Linked DNA regions of Callithrix jacchus. The protein of the gene in region 1 purifies or fractionates together with the protein of each later gene. This does not show direct contact. Links are inferred from orthologs where the notes say so. Each region holds a gene or a part of one and is shown on either strand. Other genes may lie near its edges. The genes, in order: TMEM43, BZW2 and ENDOD1.

Evidence for each region.
Region 2: the proteins of TMEM43 (region 1) and BZW2 purify together in Homo sapiens (affinity purification with mass spectrometry; 3 studies listed by BioGRID and IntAct, counting the BioPlex papers as one, with this or other methods). This does not show direct contact. The link is inferred for Callithrix jacchus from reciprocal best matches to the Homo sapiens genes TMEM43 and BZW2.
Region 3: the proteins of TMEM43 (region 1) and ENDOD1 purify together in Homo sapiens (affinity purification with mass spectrometry; 3 studies listed by BioGRID and IntAct, with this or other methods). This does not show direct contact. The link is inferred for Callithrix jacchus from reciprocal best matches to the Homo sapiens genes TMEM43 and ENDOD1.

What each region holds. Positions count from the first base shown.
Region 1 is NC_133516.1:71,100,748-71,104,395, reverse strand, and holds part of TMEM43 (transmembrane protein 43), read right to left. Parts: intron 2,217-3,648; 5' UTR 2,208-2,216; coding exon 2,067-2,207; intron 1,074-2,066; coding exon 939-1,073; intron 316-938; coding exon 221-315; intron 1-220. UniProt on the Homo sapiens protein: May have an important role in maintaining nuclear envelope structure by organizing protein complexes at the inner nuclear membrane. Required for retaining emerin at the inner nuclear membrane.
Region 2 is NC_133512.1:41,754,053-41,757,700, forward strand, and holds part of BZW2 (eIF5-mimic protein 1), read right to left. Parts: intron 2,269-3,648; coding exon 2,122-2,268; intron 1,095-2,121; coding exon 956-1,094; intron 1-955. UniProt on the Homo sapiens protein: Translation initiation regulator which represses non-AUG initiated translation and repeat-associated non-AUG (RAN) initiated translation by acting as a competitive inhibitor of eukaryotic translation initiation factor 5 (EIF5) function.
Region 3 is NC_133511.1:45,196,881-45,201,053, forward strand, and holds the start of ENDOD1 (endonuclease domain-containing 1 protein), read right to left. Parts: upstream 2,914-4,173; 5' UTR 2,624-2,913; coding exon 2,324-2,623; intron 1-2,323. UniProt on the Homo sapiens protein: May act as a DNase and a RNase. Plays a role in the modulation of innate immune signaling through the cGAS-STING pathway by interacting with RNF26.

The DNA.
Region 1 (3,648 bases):
GCCACTCAATCTCCCTTTCCTCATGGATCCACAATTCACTGGATTTTTGCCACTTCCAAATCACTAGCCATTCATTTTAGGATAATTTCACACTTTTCTGATAGGAAGACGTTATACTTGAATTTCAAAGGCATCACAATGAAAGTCATCTGCATTTTATCCTGACACCTACACCTTACTCCTCCTTTACCCCAACAGTTTCCACCCCCTGGCACCTCACCTGGACTCCTCAGTTTCTACCCACTGGTACATCTCCACGTGCCTCCGCAGTTTCACAGCCGGAAGATGGACCCCATAGTTTGGATCAGACAAAAGCTTCACACAGAATCAGAGAAACCAAAAAAATAAAGGATAAGATTCATGTCAGCCCAGAAAGCCTGGCTCAGGGGAAACTGGACTGGAAGTGGAAGAACTAGAGAAGGGGGATGAGGGTGGAGAGCCCTATTCTGCTTCACAGGGAAGGATCAAGGATGCTCCCCGTCCCATGTTCTTCACATGTACTGCCTGTGACTGTGACCCTCACAGCATGGACCTGGGCTGCACGGTCCAGTGGTATGGTGCCAACAGCATTCTGGGTGTTCAAATAACAGGAAAGCGCTGGTGCCCAAGATAGTTCTGTGACCTTGCAATGGACATACATGGTCATCACAATCATGAGAGCACCTCCCTGAGTGCCAGCCACTGTACCAAGATGTTAGTTACCTAATCTCACCAAATCCTCAAGGCTGGCCACAAGCTTGTTATCATTACCGTTCCCATTTTATATATAGAGACACTGAGACTCAGGATTGACAGGTCCACACAGCTGCTGAGCGGTGGAGGCAGGAATCACACCCATGTGTGACCATCTCCAAGGCCCATGTTTTCAAATCCTCAGCCAGACAACACCCAGGATGAGCCCCGAGCCACTGGCGGGTCAGCATCCCTGCCAAGCCTACCTTGGATGTCCGCAGGGCACCGATGATGTGCACCAGCCTTCCTTCATTCTCTGGAACCACAGTGTGGATGCTGTCAGGGGACACCACAAGCGAGAGCCCCTCAGCCAGCGAGGATGCCGTCTTCAGTGCGCGGCCCTGGAAGCAAAGGGGGTGGGGGTTGCAACAACTCAGGTGGCTCAGCCTGACTGTGCTTGTTGCAAAGTATCAGGGTAGGATGGGGACTCGGGGAGCACTGAGACCCATCTCCCCACTGTACAGCTGGAAAACTGAGGTCTAGCAAGTGGAGAGTAAGGACTAGAACCCAGATTCCTGCTTTCCCAGGCAGACTTCTTCCTACTCCCCCACTGGTTCCCACCAGCCCCTGCCAATCTTAGCACCACCTCAATGGTGGGAATAGCTGGTGTTTCTGCCTGCCTTGTACCTTTCTCCCCATTTTTATCTGCCTTTTGTAGAGAAGAGTCTTGCTATGTTGCCCAGGCTGCTTTCAAACTTCTAGCCTCATGCAGTCCACCCTCCTTGGCCTCCCAAAGTCCTGGGGTTATAGGCCTGAGCCAACACACTTGGCACTCCTTCCCTACTTTCAGCCCATGTGGTTTACCTAGGTCTATCTGAACCCCTGTTCAAATCATGTGACCCAGGCCTTGCCAATCAGAACATGTGAGTCATGCCTGGCCAGGGAGATTGGTTCAGAGGACTGAGAGCCAAGCCAGGACACTGAGGCCCTGTAACTGTTGCTAAAATGATTTAGAAATATACTATTGCATCATGAGGTCCTATTTTTGAAAGAAACAGAAAAAGAAAGGGAGAGAGGGAAGGAGGAAGGAAGAGAGAAAGAGAAAAGAAAGAAAAAAAGAAGGGAGGGAGGGAGGGAAGGAGGGAAGAAACAGGCAGGGAGGGAGGGAAAAAAGAAAGGAATAAAGGAAGGAAAAAAGAAAGGTTTCTCTCTTCCCTGGGCTAAGTGGTTGGATGTAAGCCAGTTTCTGGGGCCACATTTGCCATCACAGAGGAAGTACCTGCCCAATAAAAACACCACAATAGAGAAAAACAGGCAAGACATGAAGAAATGGAGATTTCCTGGTGACCCAGCATGAACACTTGGATCCAACTGTGACTGAGGGAGGTGCTAACCTCATTGGTGAAAATTAGGTAGAAGGAGAGCAGGAAGGTCATGAGCCCCACGAACATCCCACCCGAGGTCTCGCTCAGCCGTTCCAGGAAGCCTGGCTGGGAGCCGGTTGTAACTTTGACATGTTCTCTCCGGGTGCTCATACTGGAATACTGAAGAAAAAGTAACATATTCACAGAATGAAATTAGTTTTTTTAAAAATAAATGAAATTTGCTATTTATTTATACTCGGGTTTTTTTTTCCAATTTTAACTGTAATTGGTAAAATACACAGATATTTAATGTCCACTTTGGTGGGTTTCCACAAACATATATTCCATCTGACCAACATCTAAAGCAAGGTACAAAACATTTCCATCACCCCAGAAAGTTTCTTTGTGCCCCTTTCCTGCCAATTCTCCCCCTCTCCACCAACCACAGGTGGTAACTGGTGGGGAGGGGGAGAATTTGAATTTGAATTTTTCCCACTGTAGATTAGCTTTGTTTCTTCTAGAACTTGAGAAAAATGGAATCAGAACACAAACTCCTTTCTGCCCAGCTTCTTGGACTCAGAGCACTGCTTTTGTAATTCATCCACGTTGTGATGTTTATCAGGATTTTGTTCCTTTTCATGGCTCAGTAGTATTCCACTTATGACTATACCACAATGTGCTGAATCATTCATCAGGGGATGGGTATCTTGGCAGCTTCCAGGTTTTGGCTATTATGAATAATGCTGCTGTGAACATTCATATATGAACCTTTGTGTAGACCTGTGCTTTCATTTCCCAAAGGTATATACCTAGGAGTGGAATTGCTGATTCACAGAGAATATGTATGTTTAACTTTTTAAGAAACTGCCAAGCTGTTTTACAAAGAGGTTATTAGAGATGTATTTTTAATGAAATTCAGCAAGCAGTGGCTGAGATTTCTGAGGGCAATGCTAGCCCTTGTGGGGTCAGAAGAGAAGTAGACAGTCTTAGGGCAGTAAGGTCACAACCATAAACAATATTAGGAGGTCATGCAGCGTGTGTGGTGAGAGGGGTGGACTTGGTGCTCAAGGAGAGACCTCTTCCAGCTGGGGTATCAAGACAGGCTCCCTAGAGGAGGGAGCATTTGAGTGGTGGCATCTTAGAGGCAGACTCTAGGGGAAGTGCATCCCTAAAGGGGAGTACCGTGTCAGCAGTGATGAGGAACTCGGAAGTGGTTCTCAGGGAGCAGCTGCCTATCTGCTTTACTTGGATTGTGGGAGGGATGGGGGAAGAAAGGCAGAGCCTGGCATTTCTGCACAGGTTCACAGCGGGCCTCAAGCTCAAGGGTGAGTGGATCAGGCTTTGTCTGGCCAATTACAGAGACATGATCTGGGGTGTATCCACTGCTGATCAAAAGTGTCATCGCATAGGGAAGGATTCTGGAGCCAGAAGGACTGGGTTTGAATCTAGGCTCTGCCACATACCAACTATGGGGTCTTGGGCAAGTAATTTCACCCCTTTGTGGCTTCCATTTCCTTGGTGCATAGGGTTGTGGTGAGAACCAAAGAACATAGTTATTGGGTGGCTCAGGGCCTACGGCATGGAAAGCACTATACACGTGTTAGCTAGTGGG
Region 2 (3,648 bases), on another chromosome or scaffold:
ATGACCTAAATACTTATGAACAAGATTCATTCATTTGAAGAATCTATATAGTCAATTAAAATTCATTGTGAAATGCTATTCAACATTTTTAAAAGAGCTATTACTTATGTAAAACCTTTATTTTCCAAATTTCCAAGATATCATTCAAAATAGATAAATTTAGGAACACATCAAAAAGAAAAGAAACATTTGGCTGGTATTAATTTAACTTTTCTGACATCATGATGCTTATGAATATAATAACAAAATAAGCATGTTATAATGTTCAAAATGTATAATTAAGTGTTCCTTTTTCTCCCTCACGAAACGACATAAATTTACGCCTAAAAAATAGCCTAGGACATTTTTGTATGCTGTAGGTATACAGATTGAGATCAGTTAAAACCTTTAGCATTCATTTTTTAGTGCCAGTTGTCATGGTAACCTAATCCTTATAAATACAATGAAAAGACAGTAAATGTGGAAACCTAAAAATAGCCATTCCCTTGGAAAATAGGAGAATGGCTGGGCCAAGTAACTAAAATCCAAAGTAAAAAGTCTAATTATTTCAGTAATTTTAAAGTCAGTTTTATGGTGCCTAAAAGCATGTCAACATAATATATATAGCATTTTGATAATCATTGTTATTAGAGCTAATCCTTGCAATTCAAAAACAGGCTCAATTTTACATAACTGCATTTTTTTCCCACTATCCCTAAGAAACAATAATCACTAGTTCATCTACCAATGAGAAGGGCCCAGGGGCCTAAGCAGGATTTCCGAGGCAACGCATATATGGCGTGTGTGCCTCCTCTCTCTCCGTGGTAACGTTGCCTCAATAAAACTTCCACAAATTAGCATCTTGCTGTTCCTCTCTAAACAGAGCCCAGTGACCTCCTCTGCCTCATCCCCTGCTCTGCCCCTCAAAGAGCTTCAGCAAAACACAGAAGCACAGCAGTGGCACGTGGATGAATACCTTTGTAAAAGAGAACCACGATCTTCTGAAAGGCTTTCATGAAATGGATGTTGTCGTAGCAGTATTCCTGAACTTTCTGGAGGAGGATCAACTCTGACTGGCCTTGGGAGCTGAACACAGCCAGCAGGGGAGCATATTGCTAGAACAGAAGTAGAAAGTAAAAGCCATTACTTACATGGGAGGTACAGGGCCTACACTGCTGAAACCATAACAATAACCTGGAGGGTTGCTTAGAAAAGATTCACTTTCAGGATTAGTACCTTCTTATCATCATATTGTGCCCAATGGGGTGAGGGGAACAGAACAGTAAGAACAAAGCAGTATGGTGGACCTGTGAGGGCCCTGGGAAGAAGATTCACACTCTTTCAACGGCAGAGCCACAGTCCATTAATGCAATGGAAGTATATCAGGATATGATCTCATTTTCACAATATCCCTTAGACAGAGTAGGCACAGCAATTATCTTTAACACAGGCAGATTCTCTTATTTGGTCTCTTAGAGGGTACAGGGAAAGAATCTTGATGAGCTGCCAGGATAAAAAGCATTCATTTAGAAATGCCCTTGACTTTCTGACATTGATGCACAGCCATTGTTTTTTCTGAGACTTACTCAGTTCAACACTTATCTCCTCCAAAGGGCCTTCCCTGATCAAAGTAACATGCACAGTTTACTCACTGCTATGTTCTCATGAACGCTGAGTGCAACCTTGAAAAATAATGGGAAGTATATGTTTAGCCTGAGTCTGAGGTAATTGTAGTTGGAACCCATTTGTCTTAATTAAGACAAATGTGGGCCAGGTGTGGTGGCTCACACCTGTAATCCCAACACTTTGGGAGGCTGAGGCAGAAGGATCACTTGAATCCAGGAATTCCACTTGAATCCAGGAGTTCAAGACCAGCCTGGGCAACACACTGAGCAAACATCTCTACCAAAAAATGAAGAAATTAGCCAGGTATGGTGGCAGGCACCTGTAATCGCAGATGCCTGGGAGGCTGAAGAGGGAAGATGGTTTAAGCTCAGGAGTTCAAAGATGAAGTGAGCCCAGGTCGTGCCACTGCACTCCAGCTGAGGCAACAGAGTGAGACTGTCTCAAAAAAAAAAAAAAAAAAAAAAAAAAGCCGCAGTTTGCCCTCAGCTGGGTCAGTTCCTTGCTAAGAGATGTTACCTTTAGGTGCTTCAGAGCCTGCTCTGCAACAAGTTCTTCCTTCTTGTTCCACTCAACAGCATTCATTATACAGGTCCACAGAAGACCAATCACAGCTGTTTCTGGAAGATCATTCCTCTTCATTTCTTCTTTAACATAAAGCACCACCTACATTTCACGGAAATGGGGTCAGAAAGTATCAGACAGATGGAGAGCTCCCAGCTCCCACCTAGCTGCCCAGTCAATCAAGGCTTTGTGGCAGCTGAGAAACAATCTGCTTCGTTTCTCCTTTCCTTGTCTGCATTCTCAGACTAGAAGAGGGAGAAAAAAATTTAATAATTTGTTCTCAAAGCAGATTTATTTTTAGCCCCAAAATTAATAGGCTTAGCTCTGGCCAGGAGCTGCTGGAGAGGATTTTTGTTTCCTCATAGAGAAACCCCTTTGAGTCTAGTAGAGTAAAGATACTTGAGCCAGTTTGACTTTTTTGAGATTTAAAGAAGGCAATAGAGTTGTGAACTTTTATCTCCATCCCTAAACTTTAAAACCTCTTGATAGATACCATCTTGGGTTTGTACAAGTCCATTCTCCAAAATTTATTCTTCAATGATTACTTTTGATGATCCTTATGCCCCATCGCAATGAAAAGTTATTTTGTGAATTAATTTTAAAGTGCAAGGTCAATTTTTTAATTTCATATATAACAATTCAGCAATATTTATGTCTCCAGTATACTACTTTGTGAGTAGTGGTAAACCTTTTTTTCCTCCCTTTTCTTTTTCAGTGGAAACACAATGCTTTCTTTACTTCTGGCCTGGAGTGCAGAAATGACAGCAGTGACTTGAGTAGCCTTCAAAAGCAGAAAGAGCTGGGCAGTCACAGTTCCTGCGTTGGCTGGAGGAAGCCACATAAAAGTGTGACATCAGGGCATCTACGAGCATCACAAGGCTTTTTGTTTTTGCTTTTTTTTCCTCATGGAAAGTAATGTGCAAGTTCTTGCTTGGAGAAATATGATTGAATATACTGCTAACCTTAATACCATGAGACATAAGAATATTTGTTATTCCAACACCCCCACCTGCTGGATACTATCAGTCCCACATTCTCCAGCCTTCAACCATGTGAGATGCCACGCAGGGCTTGGAGCATGGAAGAAGGTGGAGTGGGTCAGGCATTTTGGAGCAAGTGGAAAAAAAGAAAGGATTGTATATATTAATTTTTAACTGTTGTGTTAAAGATTGTAAAACTTCAAACAGAAAGCTTTCTCCAGGTACATTAAAAATTTAAAAAGATAATAGTCATAGCTTTCTGAACTATACTATGTAGCATGTGTATACTATAGTTATATGTATTATAAAAATACATGTATAACTGTGCATACATGTATTTTTGTATATGCATATTATAAAAAAACAGAGCTTTTACATTATAGGGAAACACTGCTATTGCGAGTGTCAGTGGGATTAAACAAGTCACTTATCCAACTATTCTTTTCCCATGATGTGAATTCAAACTTTCCCTTTCCAAATAAAAAGCCGACATGCTCATACA
Region 3 (4,173 bases), on another chromosome or scaffold:
GCTGCCATTTGTAACTATTTCCACCCACCCTTCCCATCTTCTTTAATCTCCACAGTCCCCTTCCTCATTATCCCACCCAGGTTCCCATGTCACCAGGTTCCCTCCACTTCTTTCTGTCAAACTACACTCCTTTATGACTCACTCCTTCCCTAGATGCATAAATGGCTCTGCCTCCCTAAGCCTTCCTTGGTCACTCCTCCCTAGCTGATCCCTCCCTTCCATGATTCCTCTTTATTCTGAGCACTTGAACACATTAATTTATTTGTATTAGTTTACCTGTTCCAACTTCTCCATGCATAAATCCCTGAATCTGCCATGCCTTTCTCACTCATGGTGTTCCCTCTGCTTGAAATGTCCTCCTCCTTGTCTCCCTTCTTACCTCCCTTCTGTCCTTATCTTTCCAGGCACAGCACAAATGTCAACCTGACCCTAAGGCTTGCTTCCATCACCTCAAAGACAGATTAAATCTAATAGGACTTTGCTACCCTTTTATTAAATTATGGGGTTTTTTTGTTTATGTCATAGCAACAGCTAATACTCCTGTGTCACACGCCTCTCTGAGAACTTTACATATGGTAACTCATTAAATCCTCACACCACCCTCTGCTATTATCTCCAATTTAACCTGCCCAAGTTCATAGCTAGTCAGTGGAGCAACTGGGATTTGAACCCACATAGCATAGCTCTAATCAAATACTATGCCACCTCTCCACCAAGCAAACTCCACCTGCAGACCAGGAAGCCTTTGTCCTAGAACTGCACTCAGATCTCTTGATATCCCAAATGTCTGGCATACAGCAAGAGATCACTAAATGTGTTCTGAATTTAGCTGAAATTCATTTAGCTTGCATTCCCAGGATTTCCTCAGACATATATTCGGTCTCCCTGAACTGTCCATGAGATCAAGGAGAAAGGACTAGGTCATTTGTTTTCTTCATAGGCACACAATCACAAAGCAAGATGAGATGTGAGTTGAGCTCTAGAGGTGCAGCTGAAGGAAAACTAATTTTGGATTTAAATGTGTCTTGTGTGTGCAATTGACAAAGTCTTTTTCACATGCCTGATCTCAACAGGTGTTATCAACAGCTGAGGTAGGTGGAAGGATGTGAGGAAGATAAGAAAACTAGGTGCAGATTGTTTGAGAACTGGTGGAGACCTCAGAGCTAGAAATAGCTGAATGAAGTAAAAACCCGCAGCCTCTGAATAAAGCACCTGAAAGCCAGCCTCCTGTCCATGGGTGTGGTCCTGGGCAGCTGTGGCCATCAGGAAAGGAAGACAGTTGGGTCAGCTCCTCCCCTGGCAGCCTGAGCAGGGGTGGGAAGCTGGTGAGAGGGTAAAGGGGAGCCTGGCAGGGTGTTCTAGAGAGGAGGCCAAGTGAGCAGAGGTGAGCCAGGATGTGTTAAGAGCAGGCCAGCAGGTTCGGCAGCCTCTGAGGGCTTCTCCAGTGTTTGGTTACCTTTACCAGATGGGACACAACACCATGGGAGGCGACATGATTTCCTAGTGGTCTGATAATATAGATATGAAGAGTCAGGAAAAACTGGCTTGTCTTTCCATCAGTTGGAGGTAGTCAATGCTTCCCTATCGTGTGTAACTATCCCACTGCGTTTCTAAAAATCTATACCTCTATTTTATTGTCTAACTCAGCACAACCACAGATAGAATTTACTCAATGCCACGTGTAGAAGGAAGGATTTTCAGGCCAGGAGATGAGCTCTGCAAAGGGAAGTTTTCCTTAGTAGAAAGGGCTAGTGAATTCCTAGCCAAAAGACCTGCACCATCTTACTAGCTGGGTGGTCTTCCGCATGTCTCTTCATCCCCCTGGGTTGTAATCTCCTCTGCTGTAAAATGGGGATGAAAATACCCACCTCCCCACCTCCAAATGAGTGCTATGGCAATGACTTGCACGAAGGCCTGGGAGCGCCCAGCCAAGGCTTTCTGCGGATCTAAACCGTCTCCAGGGTCTCTGTCTCACCCTTCACAAATTCAGGAAACGAATGAAACACTGCAGATGTCTGCGCAGAAATGCAGGGAGAACCTCCTCCAACAGGGGACCTCCCGCCCCTGCAGCTCTTGAAGTGAAGTGATGACTCGCGGATAGCCAGGCTCTTATTGCAGCCTCCACAGGGGGCGAGGCCGGCTAAACTTCGGGGGCGCAACGGGGTGGGTCTGGAACCCGGGTTTCTTGGCCCAAGGCACAGAAGGCGTGGGGATTGCTGTTCCCGGCCCGGCCCCTCCGGGTGGCTGCAAAGCGCCCCTGGGGGCAAGTCCAGCGGCACGGCCCCCAACGCGCGCAGCCCGGCTAGGGAACCGCTTAGCTTACCTGCGGCTCCACCAGCCAACGCTGCTCGGCGCCGCCGGGCGCCGGGCGCGGGGCGCGGAACGCGGAGTACACTGGGATGCGGTCCCGGGTGCTGTAGAGGGTGGCGAAGCGCTCAGCGCCCTCCGCGCGCTGACAGATCTTCACGTGGGAATCTGTTGCCAGACCCGCAGGAGGGGTCCCGGCGTAGAAGAACTTGTCACATTCGCCAAAGCCGGCCTCCTCCTCGCCTACCAGCCGGCCTTCCAGCAGCCCGGCCAGGGCGAGGAGGCTGCCCAGCGCAAGCCAGCGCTCGGTGCCCATGGCGGCCTCTGCGAGCGCGGCAGGGCAGAGCGGCTGGAGCTCTGCGAACTGGGCGCGGAGCGCGACGCAGCCGGGCCGGGTAGGGAAGGGAAGTAGGAACCCAGGCGCGGCGCTCGGCGGAGCCAGGGGGGCGGCCCGGGCGGCGGGGGCGGGTCCGCGTCTGGAGGCCGCGCCTACCTCGCCGAAGATGGCTGCAGAGGCCGGGGCCCGGCTCTGCGGTGCTGATAACCTCCCTTGGGCTGCGCCCGGGACTGGAGACGCGGTCACCTGCCGCTGCGCCGCCTGGTCTCAGCAGTCAGCGGGGACGTGAGCTGCTAAGAATGGAGAATCCGAGTGGGGCGGGCCTTGTCCAAGGGGCTGGGAAGGGACAGTCGCCTGGACTGGGCGCCAAGAAGCCTGCTGATGGTGTGCGCCCCACGGCCGTCCTGGGGATGCAGAGGGGCGGCGTGAGATGTTCCCGGAGCTGCGGCTGTTCGGAGTGAACCGGCAGAGTTCCCCTCTGTAATCTCATGAATACCGTCTCCCCCGCTCCACCGAAGTGCTCAACCGCCAGCACAGGCATACAATTTTGATGCAGGTTTTTGTTTCGTTTTGTTTTTTAGCTCATCAGAAACTCGGAGACTCAAGGAATCCTGTGAAAGGAAGTCCCTAAACTAGGCAGACAGTACAACCCTACTGTGGTTTCTAGGTGCAAGGCTTAGAAACCAAACCGATGCCAAGCAAGGAAGGAGGTCAGCCAATGTCATTGGTGGATAGGTTAGCCAGTTCTTTCCTTCATTTATCCCTCTGAATGCCTAGGTGCCACCCTGAGATAGGCACTGGATTACCACAGGGTAAACAAGAACAGGGCCCCTGCGGTCACAAAGACAGCCTAGTCGGAAAGCTTGTCATTAACCGAGGAAGCATGCTATTAAAGGGATAACTAAAAACTGAACACAGATCTGTGAGACCCTGATGGCTACAGGGGTTCGGGATGTAATCTGGGAAAGTTTGCCTGAAGAAGTGGCATCTGAGCTGAGACCTGGAGGATGACATTAACTAGGCAAGGAGGAGAACCATGTGCTCAGTGGTCTCTCACGGAAGGGAACATGATGCATTGGAGGAATTTAAGGAAGGCTAGTGTAGGCAAAGGATGGATAACTGCATGGGGGATGATGGGAAGTGGGGCTGAAGAAGGAGGTAAGGGGGCCGGGCGTGGTGGCTCAAGCCTGTAATCCCAGCACTTTGGGAGGCCGAGGCGGGTGGATCACGAGGTCAAGAGATCGAGACCATCCTGGTCAACATGGTGAAACCCCGTCTCTACTAAAAATACAAAAAATTAGCTGGGCATGGTGGCGCGTGCCTGTAATCCCAGCTACTCAGGAGGCTGAGGCAGGAGAATTGCCTGAACCCAGGAGGCGGAGGTTGCGGTGAGCCGAGATCGCACCATTGCACTCCAGCCTGGGTAACAAGAGCGAAACTCCGTCTCAAAAAAAAAAGAAGGAGGTAAGGGTCATATTATTCAGGGTACTATGGCCCTGAGGTCTTCCAACACTTTTTGACAAGGCCCA